3 linked regions of the Drosophila melanogaster genome follow. The protein of the gene in region 2 purifies or fractionates together with the protein of the main gene of each other region. This does not show direct contact. Each region holds a gene or a part of one and is shown on either strand. Other genes may lie near its edges. The genes, in order: Parp1, coil and Fib.

Region 1 (10,798 bases), on a different chromosome or scaffold from region 2:
TTAATTTTCAGGCTATTAATTGTAGAATTAATAATCATGCTAATTTTAATTGTATATTTATAAGAGGAATTGTAGTGTCAAGGCGCATTCAAGAGCATTCAAGTTATTGTAGTATGTTAACAGGAAGCTTTTATATAGCCGGCAAGCTCAGCGTATTGGCAGAGACCGCTATGAAGCGTCTTTATGTTACGTTTTAAGTCAGTTTGTTCTGAATACTTATTTTATAAGGAGCACAAGCTTTCATACCGAACTCGACGATCCGCCGTTACATCCTTTTATTGTCACGCTATCTGAGTCTCTAGGCCAGAAGAAGTCGTCCTAATCGTTCTAATTCTACATTTGGATTTACAATCTTAAATATTTTACGAGATATTAATATATACCGACAAAACAAGTTAAATTTCCCATAGTGCACAGTTTTTATGCACAGTTTTTTACTGCTTGCGCCGCTGACACAGATATAAGCCCTATATTAAAATTATACTTTTTTTAAATGTATCCGAAACCGAAAAACAAAATTTGTGTTTACAATTAAATATTTGTTTGTAAGCGCAACAGTGTTACCTCGCTACATTAATAAACGCAAAATATAACTCCAAATGGTATGGTCCTGGTCAATTTGACCCTAACGATGGCCTTCGTGGGTCGTGACATACAATGACGCCATATTTTGGGATCTACCCGTTGTCAGACAACAGCCCTACTGCTGAACCGGTCATAACGTTAAAACAGTAAAGATAACGGTATAATGGTGGTCGCAAGCAAATGAGAAAGCAGCGACAAACGTCAACTAATTCGCTTACGTGTTAATGCTCGATCATAAAATCAATGAATGGGACAGCCGGATAAATCGGTAGCAGTGCTTTAAAGTCGTGCTTTTAGGGTATAATCTTAGTGGCTGCAGTTCCCTGTCGTTTACCTGGTAAATCCGTCCATCAATTTTTTTCTATCTTTTCTATTGTTTAATCATTTTAGTAAATAGGTCGGCTATCGTTGTTAAATTAGGTAACAAAAAATAATGGAGAAGTTCTCCATTTCTCATTGTTCTCATTGTTTTTTAACAAAAATTACTTTTTTACAAATTAGCAGTGGCATAAGTATTTGGACAAATTATTTAAATATTATTAATTCAAATAAAAAAAAGTCAACTAAAAAATTATGACAAATTAATAAAAAATATACCCTCCCTTACATCACCTGTTGCATACGTTTTGGTACAGACTGTACCAAGCTGTGGATATAATCTATTGAAATATCCTTCCATAAGGTTTGAATTTCCAAAATCGTTTCTTCGCGACTTTTAGATAAGTTTGCACGCCTTTTTTTGTTTTATATATGACCAGAGGTTTTCTATTATGTTGAGGTCTGGGCTTTGAGGTGGCTAATCCAATGTGTTTACGCAAACATCTTTCAGAAACTGCGTAATCAGTTTGACCTTATGCTGACCTTATACTCCTGCTGGAGTATGAAGGACTCTCCAAGCAATTTAGGGCAATGCATGATTATTAAGGACATCTATATATATTTTTTCCTGAATGATTTATTCACTGACACACTGGTGCCACTTTTTTACGATAATGTTTCGGTAATCTAACAAAAAAAAATTTTTTTGATCAGTGAAACTCAAAAGAGCTTTCATCGCTCCACAAAACATTGTTTCAGAATGATGCTGGCTGTCCAACATATTTTTTGGCAAAGTCGTGGCGTTTTAACTTATTTGTAGAGTTATTGTGGTATAACTCTGCTAACATATGTTCCAAAATCGGCTTCCTTAAGACGTTCCTTCACTGATATCGATTTCTGTTCCTTCTTTTAGTTCTTTGGCAACCGATCGGGGAGTTTGTAGAACATTCTGCTTAAACTTCCGTATAATATAACCATCGCCCTTTTGAGTTGTTTTACGTGGTCGGCCACTACGCGCAACGTTTTTGGTTGTGTGTGTTTTTTTATATTTATTTATTTGGTAATGCACCGTTGCCCGTGGAATTTTGTATAAATCAATGATAATTTGTACCGAAATACCAGAGTTATACTTAATTATTATTCAATTTTTTATAAATTCGCTCAGTTTCTTTGTTTTCCCCATGTTTAACAAATTTATGAATGAAATAAAAGTAGGCAGTCCCACGTTATCAAGAAAAAATGTTCAAATGATCTAAAAAAAAAGTCGAAAATTTGATATTCTTCGAACAACAGATCAATGCGAACTAATTAAATGTGTCTAAATACTTTTGCCACGGCCCAAATCGTTGCCTGTCTAGCTTTCTTATAAGCACAAGGATAATTGAAAAGGTAAACAGCCAAACTTACCCTTCGTGTGTAACTGTAATTGCACTTTTTGTTTTATCATCAATAGTTTACTTATTTATTTGACTGTACTATGAAAAGCCCGGCAGTTTCAAGCTAATGGTGTCTAAATACTTATGCCCACTAGTGTATGTACCTTTCCAGTATAATTTTAACTCAGCTGTTACATTTACGCTCAAATAATCACGACCCAGCCTAAATATAGCGAAAAATAGTTACATTATTTTCCTGCGGCGATACAACCAATGCCCATCGATTAAGGTCGACTTACATATATTAAATAACATTGTTAAATTCACTTGACTTTTCGACAAACTACAGGCGAAGTTATAGTTGATTTCCTCTACAATCTACAATTGTCAAAAAACTTTTGATATGCCCGCTTCACTCGGATCTGCATGTTTAATCGCAACCCAGTTTTATAGTTCCCACAATCACATCGTTCATACGGACATGGACAATTCGAGTCTTATCTTTTAGGGTGGGATCGATTATTTAATTTTTTTAGTGCCGGAAATGTTGCCTTTACCTGATAAATATTTTTTAACAAAGAATATACACTATTGTACCTATATAGTTGAAGGGCATCCCCAACTAAGGAATGACCAAGAAGAGATCAGAATACTTAGTGGATCAAATTACAGTTATCTATTTCAGTTTACAATCTTCAGTATAATCAAGCTTATTTTCTTTAAGAGGGATAACTTAATAATAGCAATGCAGAACAGTTACAGAACAGTTAATAGAAATTCAATGTGAGATTAACTTACGGTATGGCGTTTTTAACTTTCGCTTGATCATCATCTGCTAAGCTCTGAAATCCTGGCATATCTTCACCTGACGCAAACCAGCCAAGCTCAGAGCGCAATTGGGCGAAGCATTCCAAATGATGCCACAAAGGTTGGCCTCCGTACTTCATACCAACTTCAGTATCATAAACAGTTTTACGTAAGCGAACTAGATCCTTGTTTATTTTTTGTTCACATCCACGACACGTCGATCGACTAGATTTTGCATATTCAATCCCAAAGTCTTTTAATGCTAAGTTAAAAGCCTTCGATCGCTTTTTTCCTAATTGTGCGCTTATAACTTCTTGTATATTTTCTAAGTACATTTCAAAATGTTTTTAAATTGATATAGATCAATTTTAAATACTAACCCACAAGATCCGTTAATTCCTTTTGATCGGCAAATCGGAGATTTCCAATGTTTTGTATGTCTCCTACTGAGCTGGGACGCTGGTTTTTAAAAAAGCAGGTTTTATGAAACCAATTCGGAACTTTGGCATCATGAAATGCAGACTAAAAAATAAGAAATACAATAAAATAGTTTCTTTGTCTTTCGTTCGTTTGGTGTAACCGTTTCAATTAAAAAATAATAATAAAACGATTTTTCAAAAGTGTGTGCGTGGCAGTTTTGTGCAATTTTAGGGCTTTAAAGTGGGCGTGGCAAGTCGATAGAAATTTACAGAACTAATAAAAATGAAAAAAAAAAATATCAACACGTTTTTCAAAAGGGTTGGCGTTGCAGTTTTGTGCGGTTTGTGGGCGTTAGAGTTGCCGTGGCAACATGGGTCATGCTGCATCTATGTCTCTAGAATCTGTATGCTAAATCTCAACCTTCTAGATTTTATAGTTCCTGATATCTCGACGTTCATACGGACAGACAGACGGACATGGTATTCTTGATTGGCCTTGTCCTTTTGTATGAAAGCTATGATCTCGAAAACTATAAAAGCTAGTATTCATGTTTCGCTCTGTGAAAGTTTGTTTCAGAACGATCATCACCATGTGAGGACATGGCGAAAATTCAGCTGGTCTTACAATTTTTGCGGCCCCAACCACAGAACTGCAGCAAGCCACTGGCACTCTTAGTACACCCGCACCCACCAACTGGGTGTCTATACCCCCGGGTGTTTTTTGACACTCTACTTTCGGCAATAAAAAATATCCGAGTGTTTCGCCTGCTGCGAAATAACCCTTTGGGTGAGCGACTCACAAGCAACATTTTTATAGGTTGAAGCGTGACGGTAGAAGAAATGAAGGGTCGGTCCCACTGTCGGTCCCGCTGTCGGTCCCACTGTCAGTCCCACTGTTGGTCCGACTGTCAGTCCCGCTGTCGGTCCCACTGTTAATCCCACTGTCGGTCCCACGTCAGTCCCGCTGTCGGTCCCACTGTCGGTCCCGCTGTCAGTCCCACTGTCGGTCCCACCGTCAGTCCCGCTGTCGGTCTCACCGTCAGTCCCGCTGTCGGTCCCACTGTCGGTCCCAATGTCGGACCCACTGTCGGTCCCAATGTCGGTCCCACTGTCAGTACCAATGTCAGTCCCGCTGTCGTTCCCGCTAGTTTCGATTTCACGTGATGTTTGAGGACCTGTTTTCGTTTCTTCGGCCGCACGCATTGCCACACGCACACTGGGCCAGAGAACTGCAGCAAGCCACTGGCACCCTGTGGGTGAGCGACGCAAGTATTTGTGCCCCCACCGCTACACGATTTACCGCTGGCAATTACATGCCGCAGCTGTCGACGACCGATGGGACTAACGGCGAATCGGGATCTTTTAAAGTTTCGTAAATCAGTATCAGTTTAATCAAATTCATTTTCAATCTTTTATCTGCAGACTACTTACGTATGTATGTACCACATAGTAACTTACTTGAACCATGACAGCAATCCGAAGAGTATCTTTAGATATAGTACTTTTACATCCTTTGCAAGTGGCTCGTCCAGTTCTTGCATACTCAGCAAGATAAGGTAATTCAATATCCATATTACACTTTAAAGGAAGTCAATTTCAAGACATTTATTATTTATCGAATTATGTTGGCGATATTTTCCTAAATAATAAAATTGTATATCGATGTTAAAGACTACAAAAATATTATTATAGACGATTTCCAATGATTCTAAAGACCTTGTACAGGAGCTCATTCCGTAATTAAGCTGTATTCTGTTATAAGACGTACGACTGTTAACTATATAACTTTGTAATTGAATTCGGCAACATTAAAATTCTGTGTCGATTATACACCAGCTAGTTTAACAAGAAAGGGTGGTCATTTGGAAGATTAAGAAGGAATGGTAATTATGTTCTTACTGAATAATAACACCGACCGTTTTAATTAAGGTCTGAAACTGAACTCAACAAATTGATATGGATTGATTGACTTTGAATCCTCGGCCTCGAGCTTTATAAATATGGGCTTTGGATTTTGGAGTTCCAATGAAATAAACAGAGCTTTGGAGTTACTAACATTGATTTGTCTTTGCATTTCTCTTGGACTCGAGTTCATTCGCTATTGGATACAAACGCTCTTAGATCCTCACGACTTTGTTTATTGAAATCTTAAAATAAAGTTTTCGATTATCATCCTGTATACGACTTTGGGCTTATTCCAGTCAGGATTGCTTTTGGTTTACTAGTGTTGTTCTTCTATAATAAGAAGCTGTGTGTAGGCATGTGCTTAAGTCTAATGGACTTATGGATATGCCACTCCCCCAACCATTAGTTTTGGCAAAGACACTAGAATAACAAGATGCGTAACGGCCATACATTGGTTTGGCACTATGCAGCCACTTTTTTGGTGACGGCCAAAATTGCTCTCTTTCCGCTCGCTCACGCTGAGAACATAAGAAATCTAAAAATAGAATTTGCTTGCTTGTGTGAGTAAAAACAAGAGACGAGAACGCGTATATGTGTGCGTGTTGTGCTAGAAGACGATTTTCGGGCCGAAATCAATTCTGATCAAAGAAATGAATTTACATTGTACATATTAGGGTAGTTTTTTGCCAATTTCGTAGCAATATGATGAAATAAAATAATTTTTAAAAATTCGCGCCCTTCTTATTATAATTTTAAAATTTTAATTTTAATTTTAAAATTTTTTAATTTTAAAGCTTTTTAAATTCGTTTGTTAAAATCGCCGCTCGAATTAGCTACCGTTTACATATTTATATTTATGTTGATAATTATTTATGTGTAATATGTGTAATAGTCGGTACCCAGGGAACACCACGGGGAGGCCATTACAATTGTAATGGGGTCTTATATTTACGTATATGACCTTCGAGTCGACTTGAAATATTTTAATGTTTAACATTAAAACATTTCCACATTCCCCAATTAAGTTATTTTTCTAACTATTGTTTTTTATTATATACTGCTCGATTTTTCAGTCGTCAGTTATTTAAATAACATACTGAAAAACAACTGAATCTAATGTGCATTTTAAATAATAAAAATGGATCATTATCATATATAAATCATATTAAGTCAAATGACTTAATAAGTATGCTAAATAATTAAAGGAAGTAAAATATAAATTATTATAACTACTTATAACAAAAGGAATACATTACATCGAGAAATAAATATTTCATAAAAATAATACGAAGTAGAAAATACAAATTTGTAAAATAAATAAAAATATGAAAACTGTTTATTGCAAAAGTCACATCAAAGACACTAGAATTATTCTAGTGTCTTTGCTTTGTTCATATCTTGAGGCACGAAGTGCGGACACAAGCACTCAACAATCATTGCCTTATTAATTTTTCACACGCCGCAAGATGAATACTCTAATGACAAATATTCTTATATAAAGTCATTTTTGAAATTTATTTTTGTGATATTATGTACATAGATTTGGCTATTTCTAATCTATTTTCAAATAATAATAACGTTAAGGCAATGCAAAACAAGAATTTTTCGCATGGTGCCAATTGATCAAAAATAATATAGATTTAAAGTCTAAGAACTTCTACGGTGAAGGGCATATTTTGTCAAATTTACAATGCATGAGCATACGTGTGCACACATAAAGTTGTCTGCTATCACTGTATGCGTAGAAAAGAGCGGTTCGCTGTAGCGCTCTCCGCTCTCTCGCTCTCTAACAAAAATTCGAGAGAGCCTGGAGCCACCTCTAGAGCCACGGCGAAAATATCGTGTGCCAAAAAATCGTATGGCGTTACTCATCTTGTTATTCTAGGGTCTTTGTTATATGCAATCCGACTTAAATAAATTTGTATGTATGAATAGATCAGTTATTTGTTAAATAGCAAAGTTTCTGATCTCTTAAATTTGTTTTTATATCCTTTTTTCAAAAACATAACAAAAAATCTTAATTTTTTGGCTCAACTGAATATGTTTTACACTTTTGACTTCACTTTTTTTGACCGCGTGATTGTAAAGAGTTAAATCTTTTTGTATTCTAAAATTTAAATCATCTTTATCATCTTTTTCTAAAATGGGCCGCGGATTTATTTATTTATTTATTTTATCATATTGCTAGGAAATTGGCAAAAACTACCCTAATATGTACCATGTAAATTCGTTTCTTCGATCAGAATTGATTTCGGCCCGAAAATCGTCTTCTAGCACAACACGCACACTTATACGCGTTCTCGTCTCTTGTTTTTACTCACACAAGCAAGCAAATTATATTTTTAGATTTCTTACGGTCTTAGCGGGAGTGAGCGGAAAGAGAGTAATTTTGGCCGTCACTTAAAAAGTGGCTGCATAGTGCCAAACCAATGTATGGCCGTTACGCATCTTGTTATTCTAGTGTCTTTGCATATAACTAAGTTACAACGTTCAAACCTAAACAAGTAGTCAAACCCATTCAGTTGAGCGGCTCTGTAAATGATATCGTTCAGCTTTCTTCAGTTGGACGGTGTGGTCATATTAATAATATGATCTTTCTACTGCAGTTCGTCTTTTTTTTTAATGTTTAGTGTTTAGGATAAAAGCTTCTTGTCATTTTTGTTTGGTTACAAATTAATATACGTATTTGAATTTTATTTTTAATGTAGCATTCAAATACAAAATGATTAAAATTAATAATAAAAATGATATTGATATTTTCTAATTGTAATTGTTTAAAATATTAATGTTGTCAAGAGTAAGTTCTGAATTGTTGGATTTTATGTAATCTGATAAGTCCAGATTCTTAAAGTGGTTAGTGGTTATGTACTCAAGTAATTTGTTTTCTAAATTGGTGTATCAAATATTATTTATTGTAGTTGTGCTGTTGAAGGTTATTAAATATGACCCGTCTAAATGAGAATTGCTTACAATATTATTTCCTATTATTAGAATGGCACCTTCTTGAATGATATCTATATTCTTATTTTTTCTCGTATCTTGGTGCAAATTTAATTCTCTCCATTTAGTAAGCGGGTAAAACAAGTTTTATCTTTACTTAAAATACCATAGTTATTAGAAAGTTTGTTCTTAAAATTAGATATTTCATAAAAAGTATTTTCCCATTTGGCGATCTGATTAGTTATTAGTGAATGGATCTGGCAAAATAAATTTCACATCTTTTTGTTATTACAGGGTACTTGATATAAATAATTAAGAGTTCGTTATGTACAATTATGAATACGGAGATATCAATTAGATCTGCAATAATTAAAGGCTTTTGTTAGTGATTTAATATTTCCTTAATGTCTTTTGTTTGGTTATGCAGCCTGCAGCCAGCAGCAGCGAATCATAAGTTATTTTATTATATCACTTTTATACATTGCTCTGTGCACCAACAGATTTTGCATTCCCCTTTGTGCTATGTTCCTCTCTCTTAATAGTGAGCGAGCACAACTGTTTATGTGCAACTGTTTTGTACAACTTGCTCATTTGCCTTCTCCATAGCAAAGTCAGTCACAAATTAAGTGTTGATCTTACCGGTACTGCTGTGATGCACATTAACTCTTAATCGGTTCGGTACGGGGACTGCCACAATATTTGGTGACCCCGACGTGATCGGTAACATTTCTTTATCGTGAACTCAAAAACAAAAATTTTGGTGCACTTTTGTGTGTACATAAGTGGCTGTACTTTTCGCCCTATCTTCTTTTCGTTTATCGCAAGCATTCGCTTGCTCTCGTTTCGTTTTCTGTTTCTTTGCTTACGCAGCTAAGCATTCACGCGTAGCAGCAGTTTCTTCTTTGCCGACCGCCAAATTCATGTCGTTTTGGCTGTGCAAAAAAGAACCGACTTTGTGCATAAACATACATCATTGCTATTTGTAATGAGGTCCAAACTGGACCTCAATCAAATGGGAAGCGAAGTGCGTGACCAGTTCAAAGACATTTCTATGAAATGTGGTATATGATAAAAACGGACCTCAGTAGACGCAAAGTGCGAGAGATTGCTTGTTCAACTATGCGTCAATATCCAGGAACTGAGTGGCCTTCTAGTTCTCTATTTCGACGACCGAATGTGCCTAACCTGAAGCTACCAACCTTTAGTGGAAATTATACTGAATACACAGGTTTTATGTCGATGTTTTCTACTGTCATCGATAAAAACCTAATATTGGCTGACATGACACCCCAAGTCTTGCCTAAGAGGTCCCGCTTTGGCTGCCGTTGGTGCTTTAGAGGTTACTAATGCAAATTACCCGGCTGCCCTGGAGTTGTTGGATAAGCGCTACAACAATAAGCCGCTGATTTTGGAGTCTCACATTTCGGCGATCATGAACCTACCAAAGGTAGAGGGTTCATCTTCTGTAAAGCTGCGTGAACTGTCCGACCAAATAAATCTGCGTTTACGGCACTTCACAACATGGTCCCCCCTTTGAAAATATCCGAATGTATTTATTGTTTTCTCCAAAAAGTCGACCGTGAAACCCATCTATTATGGGAGGATGCTGCTCCCACTGAAAGGCTTCCAAAATGTAATGAATTTGTTAAGTTTTTGGAGACAAGATGCCAAAGGGTTGAAAACATCGAACGTAACAATGTTGCACTTAGAATCATGCCACAGGTTGTAAAACCTAGGAAAGCCATCCACAATTCTAGAAATTCATTTGTCGTCACTACCCCTGTCGCTTGCTGCCCTGTCTGCAATGGTGTAGACCACATAATCTTTGATTGCCCACAATTCAGAAAACTGACGCCTCAAGATCGCTTACAGGAGGCAAAAAAAAAAGCTTTTGATGCTCATTCCAACGGATTGCAAGTAGTTGCACAGGAATCATCACCTGGTCAATCTTCTTCCTTAATTGCTCAAAATCGGCCACTGCCGTCATCAATATTCAAAAAAAATCAGGATCTTGGGTTCCTTGTCGCGTCTTGCTTGACTCTGGCTCGCAACTACACATAATCACCTCTCGCCTGGCACACACTTTGCAATTTCCCAAGTACAAGTCTGCAGTTACAGTTTCTGGAATTGGTGAAGCCAGGTTTAGATCAGATGAATGTATGGGTATGGTAAATATTAATCTAAAATCTCAAACTTCAGAGTTCGCAAGTGCCAATATCGCAACTTTGGTAGCTCCTACTATCACGGTCAACCAGCCCAACCTAACTGTAAATTCTGAAGACTGGAAAATACCAGCTAATCTTCGCTTGGCCGATTCCCAATTCTTCAGGCCCCAAAAAATTGACTTGCTGATAGGGGCTAGGGGCTATTTTCTTTGATCTGCTGCGTGTAGGCCAAATAAAATTGGCCGATGGACTTCCCATTCTCCAAAAAACTCGTTTTAAATGC
Region 2 (10,551 bases):
AAACATCTGGGGACAAATGAACCCCTAGCAATCCGCCATCGGCTGTAGAAGATTAGTCATGTTGTTGAGCAAATTACTGGGAATGCAAACAACACGCCTAGACCGAAAACAAAAACCAGCTAACGATATTCGTCAACTTGTTTTGCTCTTTGGACGAGTTGCGCGGCCAGTTAGCTGTTTTGATAACAAAAGATGCTAATTTATAATAAGTCAAAGCCCCAGAAGATGGCTAAAACAGCAGCACTTTGTTGTGGAGCGGCCAAATGAATGGCACAGAGAGAAACTCTTGGACGCACAAAATTAAATTTCATTTTAGACAGTCAGTTTTACAGCTGCTCCAAATATAATAAACACGCAATGGGAGAGACTGGCTAAAAAAAAAAGAGAAATAAAATTCATTTAACTGGCGGGGAATGGAGGTCACTGGGCTGCTTGGGCTACACCAAAAATCCATCAGCAAAATTAAATATTAAATGTTTGACGTGGCGTCCAAGAAGGCGGCCCAGAGTTCCGGGAAAAACTGGGCATGACGTGACCGACCAATAAATCGTCTAATTTTGTTTCGCCGGGCGGGCGCTGCATTAGCCTGGGGAATTGGAGCAATATGTGTATATTGCACAACCGGCCCACTCAAGGGTCTTTTGGATGACAACATGGATGACTTTTCCACTTAGGCGTTCTGTGTTTTCTGTGGACGATATCCCCAGCTGACTGAGTGTTCCCGTACGGGAATAGCCGCGGTTCTCGGATTCGCTGCTCTTATCACACGCCTTTTTCCGGCCGTAAAATACTCTTTGTGTGCTTAGCTTTATCAGCGGGCGATTTATATCCGTGCACTTACATACATATGAAAGTGGAGGCGACATCACAGCTGCCTTGAGTAAATATAGAAATTACAGCATGCTTATGTGGCAGCCACTCCCACTTCGGTGCCCAGCCCCCAGTTCCCTGCGCCCCTAGCTCCATCTGCTCTTGCACGTTCCGGAATGCACTTTGTATTTCCATTGTACTATTTTTGTGGAATCGTGGAATCGAGGAAAAACCACCTTGCGGGCAGACAGAGAGAGAGCGCGAGCCGGGAGAGAGAGACCGCACTAAAATAACAGGCGGTGGCTCATTTTGGCGCCGCGCCAATTTACAAATCTGTCCGCTGCAGCCCCCCGGAAAATAGTAATCATCACCGTTTGGCAGGGGGCGTCGCCTGCCATGTTAGCTGCAGTATCGCGTGGTCACATAGCCGTGCTCCTGTTTTCACTTTCACCGACATCGATCAGATTCCATTAAATTAGGAACTTTGTTTTGCAAAACCGATTATTATTACAGATTATCCGCAGATGGATCGGAATTTTAATCATTGAAATAAACAAGTAATGACGATAACACATTCCTCACTCTCCGTAGCCTACGAAGATATTAGTTTTTGAACAGTAAACCCAATTTTTCAGCGGTTCAAATGCCTTTAAATTCAGTGACCCCTAGACTGTTTATATGTTTAGCTCAAATATAAAACTATATAGACTGGGATTCCCAGAACACACCTGTAAACCCACCAGGATAGCCCACCTTAAACTAGGGATTGCTTGGGCTGTAGGTACACAGATTGTTGGCTTTTTGGACTACCTGCCTCTACATAAGGAACATGGCTTAGGAATTGCCTGGTCAACACACTTACCTCTTCCAAGACGCCAATCGTGTGGCGGCAGTCGGGCATCCTCGAGGCGAAGGTGGAGGTGGTGGGCGAGCTGTAATCGGAGCGCGTCTCCTCCACAAACTCGGACACGGCAATCAGGGATGGCGGCATTTTGCTGCTCAGGATATCCCGATGTCCTGGTATATACAGCGTATCTTTTACTCACACGCACACTCACTCACACACACACACACGCGAGTCGCACGCACACCAGCTCACGCCCAAGGCCGTGGAACGGGAGCAAAATGGGAGTGGGAGCGGGACGGCAAATAGCTGAGAAACTACCAGGATAACGCCTTTAAGCACTGTACGTGTCTCTGCGTCTTTGTTCACTCCCGATTTGTGTTGTTGCTCGTCGCACTTTCCCTGGCACTATATCCATATATCCACACACTGGCGTTCTCATCATCCTCATGCAATTTGGCTTTTTGCTTTTCGCTTTTCGGTTTTCTGCGTTTTTGGTACTGCTCGTACTACTCGAGATGCACAATTAACTTTGTCTCTGGGCGAGGGAAGTGCGCAGTACCCGGAATCGCGGCAATCATGGTAGGATCAGAAACACACTCGGACTGGTACTGCTACTGTGACTGGGACTCGCGGCACTGGACATGGTCGTCCTAACTTTAGGCGTGATTTAATACTTTTGTTTTATTGCGATTTTGTGCTGCTGGCGTCTCGCTGTTGTTACCCTATCGATATGCTATCGAAAGCAGCAGGCCTGTTTCGCTGACTCACAGTTACGTCGCCCAACTGAGGTAGCGATAACATTTATCGACCGCCAGCAACGCGGTGTGGATTTTATTCGGTTTTTTTTTTCTTTTTCACTGGCATTTGCTTTGAGTTTTAATACAGAGTAGAACAAGATGGCTGGCAAGCGACAAGCCACTTCGAACCTGAACCACGAAAACTGGGACCTGGAGGAGGAACCCGAGGAGCGCGGCACATTCCGCACGGCCACCGAAGAGGAGCTAAAGACACGCGTTATCAAGAAGGCGCGCCGCAAGATTGCCGGTGGATCGTCCGCCGCTGAAGAGGATGGCGCCGAAGAAAAGACTGCAGAGCCCAAAAGTGTGTTCAGTGGCTTTTCCGGTAAGCTATCAAATCCATGCAGACCTGAGGGACTTGCTCACTCCGATTGCTTTTAGGTTTCGGCAAGCCGGCTGCGAGCCCAGCCGCGGGTTCGCCTTTCTCCTTCCTGGCCAATGTGACGGCACCAGCCACGACCTCTAGCAGCGAGCCAAAAAAGTCTGCATTCTCGTTCGGGTTCAGCTCCAGTTCCAGTTCGGCCGATCGGCCTGTCAGCACTAGCATTTGCGGCACCGCCAGCACCAGCAGCACGGCCCCCTCTCCTTTGCCGGCCAAGGAATCAACAAGTACCGTCGATGGCGCCAAGCCGACCACCTCGATATTTGGCAACATATCAGCTGCCAAGAAGGAGAGTAGCGAGGCCAAAACCAGCAGCAGCAGCACTAGCCTCACATCCACCATGGAGACCTCCGAGTACCGTGAAAGCGTTGCTGACCTAAATCGGTCCGTCATAAAATTCCTGCAGGACCAAATGGGCAAAAGTCCCTACTGCATACTGACTCCAGTGTTTAAGAACTATGATGAGCATCTAAAGGATCTGCAAGACGAGGAGAGCGCCAGAACGAACTCCACGAAATCCAAAACGGCACAAGCTCGTTCTCAAGAACCAGTTGCAAAGGTGTCCCGTGCATCGTCGCCACCAAAAGCGGCTACTACGTTTACGTTTGGCAAGCCCAGCGCGCCAATAGGCGCCAGCGTATCGCCCTTAGCCAAGAAACCCAACTGCACCATAACCAGTGGTGGAACAACCACCACGACCGCAACACCACTGGTCTCCTTCGGCAGTACGGCATCGTTCACTGCGCCAGTGCCGTCCTCCTCCAGTATCTTCAGTTTGACAGCAAAACCCACTGGAGAAGCCAAATCCGATGATACCCCTAAGTCCAGCATTTTTAGCTTTGGAGCAAAGGATACGACCACTAAAAAGGATGAGCCTAACTTCTCGGCACCGAAGACCAATGGCTTTTCCTTCGGACTGAAAAGTAACAACGACGACAAGCCAAGCACCTCGTTGTTTGCGGGTTTCGGAAAAGCGCCTGGAGGAGCAGGAGACGGCGCAAAGGGCTTTTCCTTCACCAACAGTGCCACGCCCTTCTCTCTCGGAAACATTCATCCGCCAGCTGCAGCGGCAGCGCCTGCGGAGGAGGAAAAAGAAGAGGATACGCCCCCAAAAGTCGAGTTTAAACAGGTGATGATAAAAGAATTTTCTTTTCGAAGGGAAAGATAATATAACTTCTACTCCAAACAGGTTGTGGAGGATGACGCTATATACTCCAAGCGGTGTAAGGTGTTCATTAAGAAAGACAAGGACTTTGGCGATCGTGGCGTGGGCACGTTGTACTTGAAACCTGTCAAGGACTCCGAAAAGATCCAACTGTTAGTCCGCGCCGACACCAATCTGGGCAACATCTTGGTCAACCTTATTCTTAGCAAGGGTATACCTTGCCAGCGCATGGGCAAGAACAATGTGCTGATGGTCTGCGTGCCCACGCCAGAGGACTCCAAGGCCACATCGCTGTTGCTACGCGTAAAGACCGGTGACGAAGCCGACGACTTGCTGGAGAAGATCAAGGAGCACATCAAGTAGAGGATAGACAACTAACATGAATTCGTACATATAGATGTTGTTTAATCGTTTGTATTTTAAAAGCTATAAATGTACGAAACCCTGGAAATAGAACTCAAGAATGTACACACAAAAATGATAATCAGTCAATTGTGGCTACAATGATTTTGGCTTCAAGCATATCTTTGAGATGAATACTTAAAGTTCGCACATCCTCAGAAGACTCGTCCAACCCACTCATATAATATTGACGCAACATGCGACCGATTTCGGGGGGATAAGCTAAAAATTTTAACGAGATCAGTTTCGGGTATACAATTTAAATTGATAGTCGCTTACTTATTGTTTCCACTGTGACAATTTTGGTGCGCCGGTTAACGTAAGTGCACCTCCCGGCGACAAATTCGGTTGTGCCAGAATTGGCGTTTCCCTTAATCTTCAGCAGTTTAAATATAACCGTATCGCCCCTGGACGGCAGGCTATTGAGTGGAGTTGCAGTCCGCAGTAGGTCCCTTATAATATCCAAAGATTGCCTATTTTCTACTACTAAGATGTCAAGGGCACTCATAAGCATACATCTACCATTTAAATGCCTCGTATCTCACCTGGAATCGGTTCAATATCAGAGTCGCCGTATGAAACGTCGATATTGGAGTCGTCTACCAACATCACATCGTCGTCGGAATCGGATACTAGTTGTTCCTCAAAAATGGGCACTGTTACCGTTTTAACATCCTTCGAATCAACGTTATTTTTAATCGGAGATGCACTTCCGTCATCTGGCAAAATTTTTTCGACTTTGGGTGTTTTTTCCATAGATGTGTTGTTCTGTAGAAATGACTCAGTAAGTTCAAGTGGATTAGTTGCTTCAGCTTCGGACGGAAGAGTGGTCTCAGCTTCAGTCGAATTGTCCAGATAAGCGGATTCAACTGCTCCTATGGCCCCCGGAAGAGTGGTTGATGTTTCAATGATGTCTTCGCAAAGAGGTGCAACTGCTCTCTTTATACCTTCTGAAACATTTTTTTTATCCTTTACATCTGGTAATTCTTCGTCGTGCAAAATTTCGTAGGATTTAGGCTTTAAGGTTGAATCCTTCCCATTGCTTGGGAATTGTTTAGCCGTATCATCACTCTTAGCTCCTTTCTGCAGCAAAAAACGAGGACTGATGGGCTTAAGTTTTTTATATTCCAGAATTTCAATTTGTTGTTTTTTAGTGGGAAATTGAAATATGCGCGGAACATTAAAGGGCATCTCCAAGAGAGGGGAGCGGAACGAAATCGATAGGAGGCTAGCAGCAATGCCAGGACTCTTCTCAATTTGGTCCCCTGCTTTCAGTTGAGATAGTTTATCCGGAATTTTGTTGGACTCCAAGTGTGTTTTGTCCTGTTGCTCCTCTCGAGTTTCGTTTTCCTTCGTTACCACACCAGATTTTTCTGATAGAATGTCAGGCGATGTCTCTTGATTCTTGCTTTCTGACATTTTACCCTCCTTGAGCGTGCATCGAGAAATACTCTTAGGAGCAGGTTCATTCTCTACCTGGTCAGATGCCTCGGGCGATTTGGTCGGTTTCTTGTTTTTGGATTTATTTTTAATCTGAGGAGCAGATTCCTTGTTCTCTGTCTCGATGTTCGCTGACATGTTAGAAACTTCTGTCTGAGTTTCAGGGGCCTTTGGAGTGCCTTTGTTTGTCAAGAGCTTTGATTGTACAGAAGGTCCAGGAGCCATATCTAGCAACTCCTTCTTTCTCACACGAGATGGGTTTTCTGCAATATTTATCCATTCTGAGTTGTTCTGGTTCTTGGAGCGCTTTGAAGGTCGGAGGGGAGTGGAGGCGGTTAGGTGAACCTGTTCCTCGACGGATCGATTCTTGCGCTTTTTACTGGATTTTACAGGAGCAGGGCTCACAAAGGTATCACTATCGTGGCTGGCAAACCGAAAGGCTCTGCAAGGGATGAATATGCTCAAGTAGATCGTAAAAAGAAATAAGCTCACCTACTTGAGTCCTTCGGCAGAGTTCAACACTTTGATAGACTCCCTCGGGGGCAGATAGCATCCATCTGAGGTGAGCAGACTAATGTCCTTCTGTTTGAATGCAATTTATTTAGAATTAGCAGTTAGAGATTCTTAAAAATCTTGCCAAGCTGAAGAGGTTTTGTATGTGGTCCTGGAGGTCCTTGATGTTGTTCCATGCTGCATCGATGAAAACCAACGAATTTCGTCGTTCGTCCTTGAAAAAGTTTGATAGATCCACCTTCATGCTGGAGTGTTGCATTTTTGACTTAGTTTTCTTATGATTAAAATGATTTTAAATGTGCTAGAGATGGAAGTATGTTCGATTTCGTTATCGTTAAATCGATGTGTTTAAATTTCTGTCAAATTAATGTCATATTTTTTGTAGCGATTTATAAAAATAAAGCTTATTTGAATGACAAACTACATTAATATTAAAAAATTGCAATATGGAAAACAATATATTTAAGTCAACGAGATTTTACTTGAAATAATTTAAGTTAGTTTTAAAAATGCCTAAAGCAGAGGGCTGTAATAATGGATAAATTAAAGCTTTGCCTTGCAGAGAATTTAATTTTTTAAACTCCCCTATGTTATCGATAGCATTTACCAGCTACGCACGACCGATAGCGATAAGACAGTTCTTGTGTACAACGAAAACAAATAGTTCTTATCAATAAAGTTAGGCATTGATCACGGCTCCGAATTAGATCAATGATGTAATTCCACCACGAGGAAGCTCCGATCCGATCCGATTCCACTCCAAAATGAGCCACGGCGACCAGAGTCAAAACCAGAGCAGCCAGCGGAGCCAGGCGCTCACTGGCGGTGGTGACTCCCCGAGGGACAGGGAGAAGGAAAAGAAGGGCTGGTTCCACTCGCTGACCAGGCGCAAGAAGTCCGACTCGGCGCTGGCCGTGACTGCATCCGCCGCCGTCTCCACCAGTGGATCGCAGAACAACAACAACGAAGTGTGCGTCCTTGAGGCAGCGGACTCTTCCATGGCCAGCTGCAGCAATGGGGGCACGGGCACAGGAACTCTGCGCAGAAGGCGGGACAAGGACAAGCGAAACGTGTTTGCCAGACTACGAAGGAAGGTGGGCCAAGGGCTCAGCTCCCTGCGAAACTGGCACTCCATGGGCGACTGCGACGACGGCGGAACTACTGATGCCACCTACGAGTTCCTTACGCCGGCCATCTGTCCGGAACCCACGCTACCATTCACACACGACTACTTGCGCTTTATCCGGAAGAAATGGCTTGAGCGCGAGGACGCCCACTCGCCCAACCAGATCATGTACAAGGCCTGCTCCGAGATGCTCAAGTAAGCGCCGTGTTTCTCCGTCCATCAACGATCGATGACTCATGCCCTTTGTTTGTTTTTAGCCAAGTGTGGTACTGGGGTGAGATCTCCAGGCGCGATTCGCAGCGGCAGTTGAGTGACAAGCCGACTGGGTCGTTTCTAGTCCGCGACTCGGAAACCAGCGGATCCCAATTCACGCTCAGCTTTCGGATTGTGAACGTAACCCTGCATTATCGACTGGAATATCGCGACAATTTTTGGCACTTCGAGGAACTTAAGTACGAGTCCATTGTCGAGATGATCGAAGATATCTTGCACCGCTGCACCAACGACAACTTTGTGTGCTTTGTGAAGGTTCCCAACGAGATGCAGCCACCGTTTCCAGTGATCCTCAAGTACCCGTTGAGCCGGTACTCCAACATGCCCAAGCTGCAGGACTTATGCCGCCGTGTTCTGCAGCGCCAGATGTCTCGCGAACAGCTGGCCCAGTTGCCAGTGCCGGCGCAGATGCTGGAGTACTTGTCGGTGGAGCGGGAGCTGGTCTTCCAGAGTTAGGCAACCGCCGCCCGCCGTCGAGAAGCCGCTGGTCAAAGCTTTAACACTGAAGTAAACGCAAGCGCGTACACCAAAGAGGTCCGGGCGAATGGAATCCCAGCCTGCAGTTGTTCGTAATGATATTTGTTGGTCGGATTGGCAATATGTTGTTGATGCATTTCTACGCCCCAGTAACTAAGCGCACAGTCTCTCTTCACGTGCACGCCGGAATCCCAGTGCACAGAATTTTACTGTATTGTACTGCTAAGTACGGTTAGTACTAGTATCTTGTCTAGGATAATGTATTATGTTATTTGCCATATTTAGTCTATTGGTTTGTTTTATATGGGTCCTGGTCAAGTCTATACTCTGCACCACAGTGTGCAAATCCTTAAGCAAATTTTTAAACATTGAACTACTGCATATATGTATTAACGTAAGTTCTAAGCCAGATGTATCGTACTATTTACGTTGTTTGCATTTTTGTATTCCTAACTTGGACACTAACTTTTTGCTAATCTAGATTGCATGGAATTTAGGCAGCTTTACGGCAATCGAATACGTTCAATGCCAATTACTCTTGTTGCAACGTGTATGTATTTTATTTAAATCTATCTATGAATATTTTACAAGAACAAAATATCAATCAACTCCTTGAGCGATCTTGCAGTCAAAGGAGCTCGCAAATAAAGAAAAAATCACACAAATGTATATGTATATTCAGGAGGGGAGATTTTGCTGTTTAATGTCCTCCTCTTCGCCCTCCAGCTCTACATGGTCATACATGCGATAGGCTTTGAACTGGCCCAGCTTGACACCATCCACGTAAAAGAAGCTGAGAAAACATCTGCGGCACAGGTAGGAGGGATCGTGCAGCTGTCGCCGGGACTGGTTCACGATGAAGCTATAGCTGCGAATGCCGCACATATAGCAAGTCCTGCGATTAAACGTACTGAAGGCGTGAGGATAGGGATACAGGCTGCGATCTGGCCGTTTACTAAGTGGCGTTAGCACCTCTACCTGGGAGATCACAAACAGGTGTTCGCAATTGCCGTGGTGCAGGTAGTGTAGCGGTGATCCGGGGCTGACAGTGAGATCGATGAATCTTTTGCCCTCCATACTCTCCACCTTAAGCGTTTCTCCGTTCACTCCGTTCGCTCTGGCAGCCCACTGCAAGACGGTCTTGGAATAGTCGGGATTGTCCGGATTGCGCTGGTCGTTGTAGAATGTGTCGTTGATGAAGAAGTAACCGGGATTTGTGTCAATGGATGGCAACGGTGCATCTGGATCGTCGCTGATGTCGACAAACCGTTTTCCATTGCAAACGCAGCTGATCTTGTCCCGCAGCTCGGTCAGATAATTGCTGCCCAGACATACGAACTCCTCGGCGAAAACGGGAATCTCCACCTTAAACCCGCGATGGTAGGCCCGCGGTGGTCGATATAGACGCACGGTTAGCTCCAGTTCGCCGCAAGCATCGATGTGCAGGTTAGGCGAGTCTGTCGGCGTCGGATTCAGTTTGTGGCTGTACTGGGTGCGGCCAAAGGGACACTTACGGGACTTGTCCTTGTGCTGGCTTAGAGCAGTAAAAGTGGAGGGCACATGCTGGTTCTCCTGCGGCGGAGAAAAGGTTGGGCGGCATTTGTCTGCGGCGGGCTGGAAGACTGCAATCGAGCTGTCGTCTGGGGACTCGATCAAGTCCAGGGAACAGCTTTCAGACACGTCGACAAGTACTGGGTTTTTTTGGAGAAAGAAGGGCACTTCGTCTGCAGTACCGGATATTTTCTTTTGATAGTCGGCTAGAAAGTCTCGCAGGCTTAAAGCTGGATTCGTTGTAATATAGGTGGTATCCATGGTACTAAGAGGTATGTCTTGAAAGAGTGTTTTTTGTTCAGGATTAGACTCAGTTCTCCACACTCAATGATCTTCTCCAAACTTGTTAATAGCCTCCTTGTAAGTTATATTTAGCTTCAGAGATTCTGGCTTTGGCTCGGTCTGATCGTCCTCTTCAGTCTCAGCCGACTTCTCCACCTCCTGGTGCAAATTGTCCACGTAGACCCTTTCAAAAGATATCACCTTGGTGGATTTGTCCACGTACTGGTACCGCTGGCGACACACTGACTCAAAAAGCGGATCACTTGCCAGATTGTCTTTTTCCTTCTCAAAGAACACGTTGGTTCCCACGGAATGTTCGTAGCGTCCCCGATAAATGCTTCCATTTACCTCGGCCATGGGCGTGTCACTCTCGATTCCGATGATCTTAATGGCCGCGTCCTCGTGCTTCAGCTGGTGCGGATGAATGTGGTTCTTGAAATCCGCAAATACCAGGTACTCTGTGTCCTCGTACTCCGAATCGGAGGA
Region 3 (10,160 bases), about 15 Mb from region 2:
TCGGTTCACCCATCTGCAGCACCACGAATTCAGCTACACCATCAAGGTGGAGAACTCCAGCGAGGCCACGCGGTATGGCTACGTGCGCATCTTCCTGGCGCCCAAGCTGGATGATCGCAATGCACCCATGCTGCTGGAGCAACAGCGCCTGATGATGGTGGAGCTGGACAAGTTCGTGGTTACCATGCCTCCCGGCAGCCATACGATCACCCGGAACTCCACGGAGTCGAGTGTCACCATTCCGTTCGAGCGCACCTTCCGCAACCTGGACAAGCTGGAGGAGCTGCAGAACTTCTTGTGCGGCTGCGGTTGGCCCCAGCACATGCTGATTCCGAAGGGTCGGCCCGAGGGTCTGCGCTTCGAGCTCTTCGTCATGGTTTCCAACTACGAAGAGGATAAGGTAAGGTGTCTTTAGAGTATACTGCGAATGCCTCCTGATCCCAATCCTCTTTCCTTGTGCAGGTTGACCAGACGGTCGCAGATTGCGGCTGCAGCATCGCCGCTTCCTACTGCGGCCTGCGCGATCGCCTCTATCCGGATCGCAAGTCCATGGGCTTCCCCTTCGATCGCAAGCCGCGTCGAGGCTCCGAGATCCTGGAGAACTTCCTGACGCCCAACATGTGCGCCGTGGAGGTCATCATTACCCACGAGGACCGCACCGAGAAGCTTCGCGAGGTACCAGCTCGCTCCTGAATAAGAGAAGCATCTTGTTATGGCCAGTTTCATTTTTTGGCTTAAAGAGAAGCCACTAATAACGGTCTATAGCTTTCTCGCTGTGTAGAAAATACCAAATAAATTAATGAAATACTATCAGATGCCAAAATACCAGTTTACCGTTGGAACTCCCCGCGAACGGTCACACTGTGCTGCGGTTGGGGGCGGAATTGAATTTATTTGCAAACAAAAATCGAAACACGGGAGCTCGACGTTAGCGTAAGTGTTACGGCCACCGATTCAGCTGCTGGCCAATTAAAATATCATCGATGTTGCACACAGATACGCCGCACAGACACTCACGCACACACGCACCGCCTGGGAGCAAGATTCGAGCCCAGAATCTCAATTTGATCAATTTAGCATTCTGGCCATTTGACAATACAAATTGAGACTCGTCTGCACTGGGTACAAAGTTCAGTCCGTGTGCATTGGCCTGTGCCTGTGTGCGTGCATTCGGGCGTGTGTGCCTGTGTGAGTCTGTGTGTGCAGTACGCAAATGAGAGGAGAAAAAGCAAGAAACCACTGCCAATCATTTTTCAGTCTGTGTCCAAAGCGCTTGTGTGAAAGTATTCTGATTCGCCCGCCCGCCCGTGAAAGTGTTTTCTGCAATTTTCCGCATCCGCATTCGCATCACAATGGCTGCGCACTTTTTTCGCACTGCATTTTACGCAACGGCGGCCAGAAAATCGATGAGTCTGCCCTTCGCCGGCCGGACAGCCGCAACTCTAGCCGTGGGCCTATCATTCGGTGGTAAATCCCTGTCCTCCCGCATCTCACCGACTTATTTATAACTTTTGCATTGCCCACCATCCCCACCGCCATCGCCACTCCCAATATACCAACGCACGCGAGTAGCGCAAAATAGCCGGGCAGCCGTGCCGTACGAGAATGCCTACGCGGACAGCTTCTTCGGGGGCTGCCAGACGCAGGGACTGCTCCAGCGGATTCCCCAGACCGGATACATCCAGCCCCCGCTGATGCGGAACTTCTCGAGCCTGCAGACGGGCCACCAGCAGCAGCAGCAGCCGGCTCCAAATGTAAGCATATTGATTGGTTCTGGTCCTCCATCGATTCTGGTAACGTGGATTCCAGCGACTAGATTTCCACTAGGATGCACTCCAAATTTTGACTCTTAAAACTTATCTCTTCAGTTGTTGCATTACTTACTCGTATGATTAATCAAAATTGCGAACTTTGATCTTATGGTTCAGATACTCTTAGAATCCGCTCTATCTTCACATTAAGACATTATTTCTTTAGTTACTTATTCTAAAGCAAAATTATCTCCACGACGCAAGTAGTTATGAAAATATATATGTACTTTACAAAAGGATAAGATAAACCTGAACCGCCTAAGATTAAATGTAGTTGTCCATGACGCGGTCAACGTAGTTAGCATTAGAAAATAGTTTTACAGCTTAAAAAGCTTAAAAAAAATGACAATAGCTTCGATGCATAGATCAGATATCATACGTGGATGAGCCATAAATTGCAGGGTATACGCTAATGAGCTGTAGAGCAGCTTGTATTGAACATCTGTTGTTGATCTGCGGTTGAACCTTTAATTACCTCCAATTCGCTTCTTCATTTTAAGCACTTTATAGTTGGTGACTTTGGAAATTTGCATGCTTGAGTAAACTGTAGTCCCTGCACTTTGTACCCGGCAAATGATTTCGGTTTCCAATCTCTCCCAACCTCGCTTCCTCTGCAATGGTGATTTGTACAGATAAGCTTAGCTTACTTTGTATATATTTGTAAACATATGCACATATTCTAATCGTTGTTTTGCAATTAGTGAAGGCTCATTAACCGCTTGAACTAACCATACAATTAACGATATTATTAATTTATGTCATCAATATTCCAGTTCCATTGAACTACTGCCCTTATCCTGGGGCACACTTCTGGATCCACCCTCGCATTCAGCAAGCTCAATTGAGCTGGGGCACAGCTTTTTTCACGATTCAAATCATAATGGCGCCCCAATGCCAAGCTTTCGCTCGATCCGCCAAATGTTCGTGTTCTGTGTTTATTTTTAGGCGGCAAGTTGATACCCAAGTTAAAACTTAAGTCTGGGTATTTCGGATTCAAAGATAGTCACTATACACTCATCTATAAAGGTTAGTGTTAGCTATCAACAAATTAGGGCAGAATACTGCTTAATATAAAAAGAATCCTGTTAAGTTAAATTTCACATGGTATCTTTTAGTCGAGACTAAGAGTTCACCTTTCGCAAATGGGACTGAGGCTTCCAGTGCCGCAATGTAATTTAAACCAATGCCGCAAAGAGTAGAAAAAACATATTCCTCCCTATACACACACACACATCAGCTGAAATAACTATGTACCTTCCATGGGGATTGGGAATGTAAGCTCGCCTCAATTCCGCTCAACTATCCGTGATCGTTCCACTGGATCGCTGGACTATATGCTATATAATGTGGATCAGTCAGTCGGTCAAAGTCGTTGCACCTGCTTAGTTTTATCTTCGATATGGACTTCCTAATTGAAATAACATTACTGGTCATATTGGCAATTATACTGCTGAAGATCTATCATCGGGCGAAACGTGTGAGTGGCCATACAATTTGGGGTCGTCGGTCAAGTTCAAAGTGTCAAGCCAAAGTGAAAGTGTGCTCCAGCATTAAGTCACGATTTGTCTCAATTATAATGAGCCTCATTTAACTCAATAGTGCGGAAACTGTTAGGTCACAATAATGTTTCACTAATCTAAATTGCAACTGCTTATCGTCAGACTTTGCGGGGCTATCTTCGAACTTATAATGCTATCAGTCGGCTTAGCCTTGCTGAAATGGGGGAAAAGAACCTAAAACCTTTGCACCTCCTTCATTTGGTCACTTGCCTTCGTGCTTGCTACAAGCAACTTCTGATAACTCGCCACTGAAAACGGTATGAAAATAGTCTAGTCTTTTGATTTCCTTATAAATCACAGTGTTTGAGAGTTCGAAAAGTGATCGTAGTAATTGAATATCAATCGCGGTAACATGATTCCATGAAATAACCAAATGCACACACACCTGGGCTTATCTTATCACAAACAGCTGTTCATGATTGTAACGTGTTGAGCGAGTTTCAAGGTCAGCAGCTGTTGCCGAGGATAAATCAGTGCTAAAATACTTAATATAAGTATTCCCCCTAATTTGCATGGATTTGGGTGCCCCCGCTAATCTGCAGCCGATCGGACCATATTAACCACTTAAGCTTTCATATCTTATCAGTTAGCTGCTCAGTTAGTGACTGGACCTATCCAAACTTTGGTTCGCAGGGCGATTAGTTCATGGAATAGCCTAGGTGTAATCGCTTGGTCGCACATTTGAAGAGCGGAGAGAATCGAAATCGTATGCATATTTGCTTAGTTATTGAATTCTAAACGTATGCCTTGCACTCCAACTTGTTTGTTGTTTCTAAAGTTTCATTTTACCCACCCAACGCACTAACCATCCCGCATCAGCTGTGCCCGAACATGACTAATAGCCCGTTTCTCCCGAACTCAGAGTGCCATGGCGCCGTCGAACAATCGCCGGTACTTATCCTCGCAGGATATTACCAAGAACATGACCCTGTACACCAGCACCAAGACCCAAGTTGAGGTGGATCCCAAGACGCTGGCCTTCAAGAAGCCCACTGGCAACCCACTGGTTCTCATGATGGCCTGGCTGATGGCCAAGCAGAAGCATCTGAAGAAGTATGCCCAGATCTACACTGAGATGGGATTCGATGTGGTGGTGGTGCACATTACGCCGTGGCAGCTACTCTGGCCGGTCAAAGGATCCCAGGTAATAGCCGCCCTTCAAAGTTTACATTCCAAGTTGAGTCATTCAAACACTAATGCATCCATTTCCTGCTGACCAGGTGGTGGCCGCCGAGACTATTCGATTCCTGGAGAACAACAAGTCGTACGAACCCATTGTGATGCATGGCTTCTCCGTGGGCGCCTACCAGCTGGGCGAGATCATGCTGCAGATGTCGCGCGACATGGATCGCTATGGTAGCATTCTGGACCGCTTCGTGTGCCAGGTGTGGGACAGCGCCGCCGACATCACCGAGATCCCGGTGGGCGTGCCCAAGTCGATCTTCCCGAGGAACGAGCGAATGCAGAGCGCCCTGCGCAACTATACGCTGTACCACCTGAAGACATTCCACAACCAGGCCACCATCCACTACATGCGCTCCAGCCAGATGTTCCACTCCACGCTGCTCAAGGCCCCGGCGCTGTTCTTCGTGTCCGACAACGATCCCATCGGTCCGCCGTCCTCCAACCAGTCCGTTCGCGAGGACTGGGAGCGTGCGAACATCAAGGTTACCTTCAAGTGCTGGGAGCGGTCCCAGCACGCCGCCCACTATATACGGCATCGCGAGGAGTACCTGCAGACGCTGTTCCAGCATCTGGAGACCTGCGGTGTCTTGGAGGCCATCGGCGTGCCGAAGCGCGCCAAGTTGTAGGTGTCTCTAACGAGGAGCGGCTGATCAGTTCAGTGATATACATTTATTCAAGAATCAATGCGATTATGATTTTACCCTAGTTGCTAAGACCTAAAGATTAACGAGCAATGTAAAACCAATGTCCTCTTTGAATGATTATGATCTGTGTGTCTCTCGCGAGGCAGAATCTTCAAAAGCCCGCACGGGAAATTCCTAGGCTAAGCTTAAAGTCGTATTTCATCAACCGAGAGAAGAATGCACTACGCCTCTATATTGTTACATATATTTTGAGATCGCTGCAAAACAGCTAAATAAAGTAATTTAAATGATACGAACACATTAAATGAGTGTTTCAATCAAGTATGTGCTGGTTAAACAAGTATTTTCACAAGATATATGCGATGAAAGATTCTTAAAAGGTCTGAAAAAATATCTCGGGTTAAAATTGGTTCGACAAAAAAAAAACGTGTTACAACTACACTATCGCTGCGGACAGGACTTGAACCTGTGCGGGTAGAACCCAATGGATTTCAAGTCCATCTCCTTAACCACTCGGACACCGCAGCCTTATTGAAGTCCGCTCCATTTGTCACTGATATCTCTCCCTGCATAATTCTATGCTGATAAGCATCTGAATTTCTGCAAAGCGATGACAGTAAATCACTAGATATTTGAATGCAGAAATATGCAGTTCAATTTCTTCAATACCACAAGTTTTAGTTTAATTGATAGCTGCTCTTCATGACATGTGCTCATACTTCTATATGTAAACTATTAGCTTAAGTGAGAGCGAACTAAAAAATAATGTATTGCTACATTATTTTATTTATTTATGTATTAAGCTAATAATCTTTATGGATTCATTAGCCCCACGTGAACGAAACTCCAATTTTCATTAAGAATGGCTTAAGCCGAGACACCACCCCGTGAATAGTTCTTGGTTCGTGTCTGTATAAATGGTGCGTCATACCTGGCGAAGATAGGTGAGGGGGGTGCTGAAATCTATGCTTCATACCAAATAGGAACTTTGCCACCGGGGCGACACAGTTGCGGTGTCCGAGTGGTTAAGGAGATGGACTTGAAATCCATTGGGTTCTACCCGCGCAGGTTCGAATCCTGTCCGCAGCGCAGAACTTTTTTTATTTTTTATTTATTGTGAATTTGCAGAGGGTACTAATAGCTGACCTTAATATTTCTTTGACATTTCATTGTTAAGCATTATACTTTCTGTGATGAAGATGAAAACAAACTAGTGTATACCAGCCTTGCCCAACCATTTTCCGCAATACCCCTCAGAAAAACCACGTTTGTACAAAGATTGACTTTAAAGATCTTCATCTTTCATAGGAACTCCATATTGTTACACTGGCATTTGGTTTTTGTGTATATTTTGTACGTCTGCTACAAAAATAATGTGCATTTTGATTTATCTTTATAACTACGGTTTTATATTTAAAAGAAACTTAATACAACTCGTCTGTATTAGTACAATAGCCTTAAAACTAAACCCAGCAGAAAACGACTTCTTACTGCTTGGGCGGTGGTCGGTAGACGCCAACGACAACGGCGTGGTCTCGCTCGTAGGGCTCCAGCGTGAGCTGCTCTTGGGGCTTCAGCTTGTCCGCCTGCATCTTCTTCACCTCGGCAGCGAATACCGCTTCGGGCTGCGCCGTCGAGTCGATGCAGGAGGCCTTGATCGAGATGACAAAGTGTCCGCCGTTCTTCAGGAAGTGCTGGGCATTCAGCGCCACAATGCGGCCCTGATCCGGCTGGGCAACGTCGGCGAAGATGGTGTCCACCATGCCCACCAGCATGCGGTACTTGTGTGGATGGCGAGCGTCCTCGATGATGGGTATGATGTTGGTGCGCTTCTTGGCCACGTTGATCAGATCGCGACCGGATCGGTGTGAGAACTCCACGGCGTAGACCAGGCCCTCGGGTCCCACCACATCGGACACATGCGAGACTGTCGTTCCGGAGGCGGCGCCCAGGTAGAGAACCTTCGAGCCCGGCGGCATGTGAATCTGCTCGACGCCACCCAGAACGGCGGCAGCCAGCTTGGAGCGGAAGGGATTCCACACGCGGTACTCAATCTTCTCGCCATTGGTCTGCAAAGAAGAACAGATTTAAATCCATTGCTCTTTCTTAAAAATTATAGCAGAAAGCAAGAAGTAAGTAAGTTGAGTGAAATACAGAGTTGTTTGGATTGTTCAGGTAGCTTCAAATCACTTTTCAAGATGGTGGACTTGTTTGGGTTCTGTTTGTTTTGGGATAGAAGGGTAGATAGATAGGAATTCGCCTCAGTTGTGCATTATTCTAAGCAGCCCTTGGAGCTCCGCGACTGCTTCACGTGCACCTGAAGTGCACACAGCCACAGGTGACCGCCAAGGATGCTCATGGCCACATGATGCCATGTTCTGTACCCCTGCACAACCTCATCATAAGCTAGGAATAGGGAAGGTAAGTGAATAAAGATGAGAACAACAAACCTCAACGGAGATGCGCTTCTCGCCGTAGACTTCGGATCCAGGTACAAAGTTCCTGGTGACCAGAGCGTCCTCCTTGCCGCGCGCAATGAACACTCCCTCGTGACGATGCGGCTCGATGGTGACGGTCTTGCCGCCCTTGAAGCCGCCAGCACCACCACCACGTCCTCCTCCGCCGCGACCACCGCCTCCACGGCCGCCGCCACCGCGACCACCGCCGCCGCCACGTCCTCCGAAGGCACCACGGCCGCCGCCGCCACCACCACCGCGACCACCTCCTCCACGGCCACCACCGAATCCTCCACGGCCACCGCGATCGCCGCCGCCACCGCGTCCACGGCCGCCTCCAAATCCACCGCCTCCTCCGCCGCCGCCGCCACCACGCCCACGGAATCCACCTCCTCCTCCTCCGCCGCCGCCGCCACCACCGCGTGGACTGAATCCTGCAATAGAAAAGATCCGCATTTGAATTTCGGTTGACTCAGAGGTTAAGTTGGAGACTATCAAAAGCAAAGGCGACGCCTGCTTCGATTTGTATCGTTAGAGCGTGATTTTACGCACCTGGTTTGCCCATTTTATGTTGCTGTACTTGCACTTTTTAATACAACTTTCGACGAAATGTGATTGAGTCCGTCAACACGCGGCAACCAAAACGCTTGAAAAGAAAAACACGTGTGTGCCGGAGTGTGGCCGCAGCAGTGATTTTAGTGATAATATACAGAAGTACAAAGGCGAAAATACCAAGAGAATGATGTTAGTGTGTGTGTTAGGTGGGAAACTTGGCTGGGACTGTAGCTAAGTTCAACACCAGGCGGAGAGGCAATTGTGCATAGTGGTACAAAGGTTGAAAAACTGTACATTTTATTCTTGGATATCTTGCAAATAATGTAATTCTTTTTTTTTTGTATTCAATTCAAAAATTGATTGATCAATTAAATTATTGATTGATTTATTAAATTAATTTAATTTTTATGAGCCACTACATTATTATATTTTACTTATTTGATGCATGTAACTATGGAAGTATATGATTAATAATTACAATCCCGTAGTCCTTGACAATGACCCCAGTGCCTTGGAGATCTAGTGTTCGTTGACCAAACAAACAGCCACTTGAAATCGATGTTTGAGAAAAACGTTCCATTCCGCTTTGAGAGTTCTAGTTGGGAGCACACACTTTCTGAAATTGTTAACGCATAAATCCTGCTGTTTTACCTAAACTTTTGCAAACATAATGGCCTTCCGCTCGGTGGTTACGATGGAGAAGCCGCTCCAGCACATTTCGCTGACGGACTGGTATGCCCGTGTGAACCAGATGCGGAATGTGGCGGATGCCCGGAGGTCGGACGCCTTCGCCATCCGCCACTCATCCCGATCCTTGAGGAACGAGACGCGGATCGAGGGCGACTGGGCCAACTACGAGACAAATGAGGCTCTGACCGATCGGTGAGTGTCCATATCTTATATTAAGATTAACAGCACGATTAATAATCTGTAATTTATACATCAGCATCTCCGAGTTGAATCGCTGGCGGGATATCATTTCCAAGTCCTTCGAGAAGATCGAGCGCGAGATATTCATGCTGCAGGAGGAGAAGAATGCCACGGAACGGGAGCTGGAGGCGTTGGCAGGTCCGATTTCCGTGATAGCCGAGTGCCTGACCATAAGGGACGGTCGCCTCGGATCGGAGATCACCTACGATGAGGCCGACACCGAGATCAAGAACGAACTGGTCGTGCTGGAGAACAACCAGCGCCTGCTGGCCGATCGATGCCAGAAGGCGTGGGAGAAGCTCAATCGTCTGGAGGAAGTGCGCTTCAAGATCGGCCTGGAGATCGAGTTCAAGGTGGAGGCGGTGCAGCTGGACAACTCACAGCTGGCGCTCGATCGCAACTCGGCCAATATCTCATACAAGCCGGATCCCACGAGAAATCCCAAGAAGTAAGTCACACATGGAATGTCCCAGTAGCTCAGTAGGATAACTAACCAATCACTTAGCTCCTGTTCCTACGAGTCCTGGCTGGAGAACGTGAAGAACATAAAGCTGCTGGCGGAGAATGAGCTGGCCGACACGTACGCCATTCGGGAGGCTTTGTTCGTGTGCCGCGAAAAGGCGCGCAACATGCTGCAGTCGCAGCAGGAGCGGGCGGAGCACACCATCCGCAAACGGATCTTCGAGACGCAGCGGGCCAGAAACGAACTGGAGTGGCAGCAGCTCAAGATGAAGGAGGAGATGGAGAAGGCCATGTGCGAGATCCGCACCTCGGAGAATGCGCTGCGTGACAAGACGGATGCACTGAAGCTGGCCGAGACACGCCTGGAGAATCGTGCCCAGAGGTCGGGCATGGAACTGTGCATGGACCAGGCGCACGACATGCTCTGCTTGGAGGTGGAGAAGCTGCGAGAGATACGACGCCGACTGCAGGTCAAGATCGACGAGAGCAAGACCAACTTTAGTCTGCTGGAGGAGCACGGCAAGCGAATCGACGTGGATCTGGAGAACAAGCAGCACT

Evidence for each region.
Region 1: the proteins of coil (region 2) and Parp1 purify together in Drosophila melanogaster (affinity purification with western blotting; one study listed by BioGRID). This does not show direct contact.
Region 3: the proteins of coil (region 2) and Fib purify together in Drosophila melanogaster (affinity purification with western blotting, with the first as the bait; one study listed by BioGRID). This does not show direct contact.

Annotation. Positions count from the first base shown.
Region 1 is NT_033777.3:3,581,903-3,592,700, forward strand, and holds the start of Parp1 (Poly-(ADP-ribose) polymerase 1), read right to left. Parts: upstream 5,153-10,798; 5' UTR 5,078-5,152; coding exon 4,964-5,077; intron 3,609-4,963; coding exon 3,467-3,608; intron 3,412-3,466; coding exon 3,078-3,411; intron 1-3,077. UniProt on the Drosophila melanogaster protein: Poly-ADP-ribosyltransferase that mediates poly-ADP-ribosylation of proteins and plays a key role in DNA repair.
Region 2 is NT_033778.4:8,120,585-8,131,135, forward strand, and holds coil (coilin), read right to left. Parts: upstream 6,659-10,551; 5' UTR 6,616-6,658; coding exon 6,481-6,615; intron 6,426-6,480; coding exon 6,340-6,425; intron 6,286-6,339; coding exon 4,949-6,285; intron 4,890-4,948; coding exon 4,683-4,889; intron 4,626-4,682; coding exon 4,486-4,625; 3' UTR 4,397-4,485; downstream 1-4,396. Other genes in the region: Asap (ArfGAP with SH3 domain, ankyrin repeat and PH domain), read right to left, coding at 1,673-1,801; Nup50 (nucleoporin 50kD), read left to right, coding at 2,554-2,779, 2,836-3,965, 4,026-4,364; Socs44A (suppressor of cytokine signaling at 44A), read left to right, coding at 7,121-7,677, 7,740-8,211; Pbp49 (PSEA-binding protein 49kD), read right to left, coding at 8,911-10,044; CG42516 (uncharacterized protein), read right to left, coding at 10,108-10,551. UniProt on the Drosophila melanogaster protein: Component of nuclear coiled bodies, also known as Cajal bodies or CBs, which are involved in the modification and assembly of nucleoplasmic snRNPs. Required for Cajal body formation.
Region 3 is NT_033778.4:23,066,375-23,076,534, forward strand, and holds Fib (fibrillarin), read right to left. Parts: upstream 8,352-10,160; 5' UTR 8,221-8,351; coding exon 8,208-8,220; intron 8,090-8,207; coding exon 7,650-8,089; intron 7,595-7,649; exon of another isoform or gene 7,455-7,594; intron 7,269-7,454; coding exon 6,687-7,268; 3' UTR 6,535-6,686; downstream 1-6,534. Other genes in the region: PPO3 (prophenoloxidase 3), read left to right, coding at 1-400, 463-693; l(2)k09913 (lethal (2) k09913), read left to right, coding at 1,353-1,467, 1,573-1,754, 4,233-4,514, 4,591-5,181; CG3085 (uncharacterized protein), read left to right, coding at 8,881-9,092, 9,157-9,588, 9,646-10,160. UniProt on the Drosophila melanogaster protein: S-adenosyl-L-methionine-dependent methyltransferase that has the ability to methylate both RNAs and proteins. Involved in pre-rRNA processing.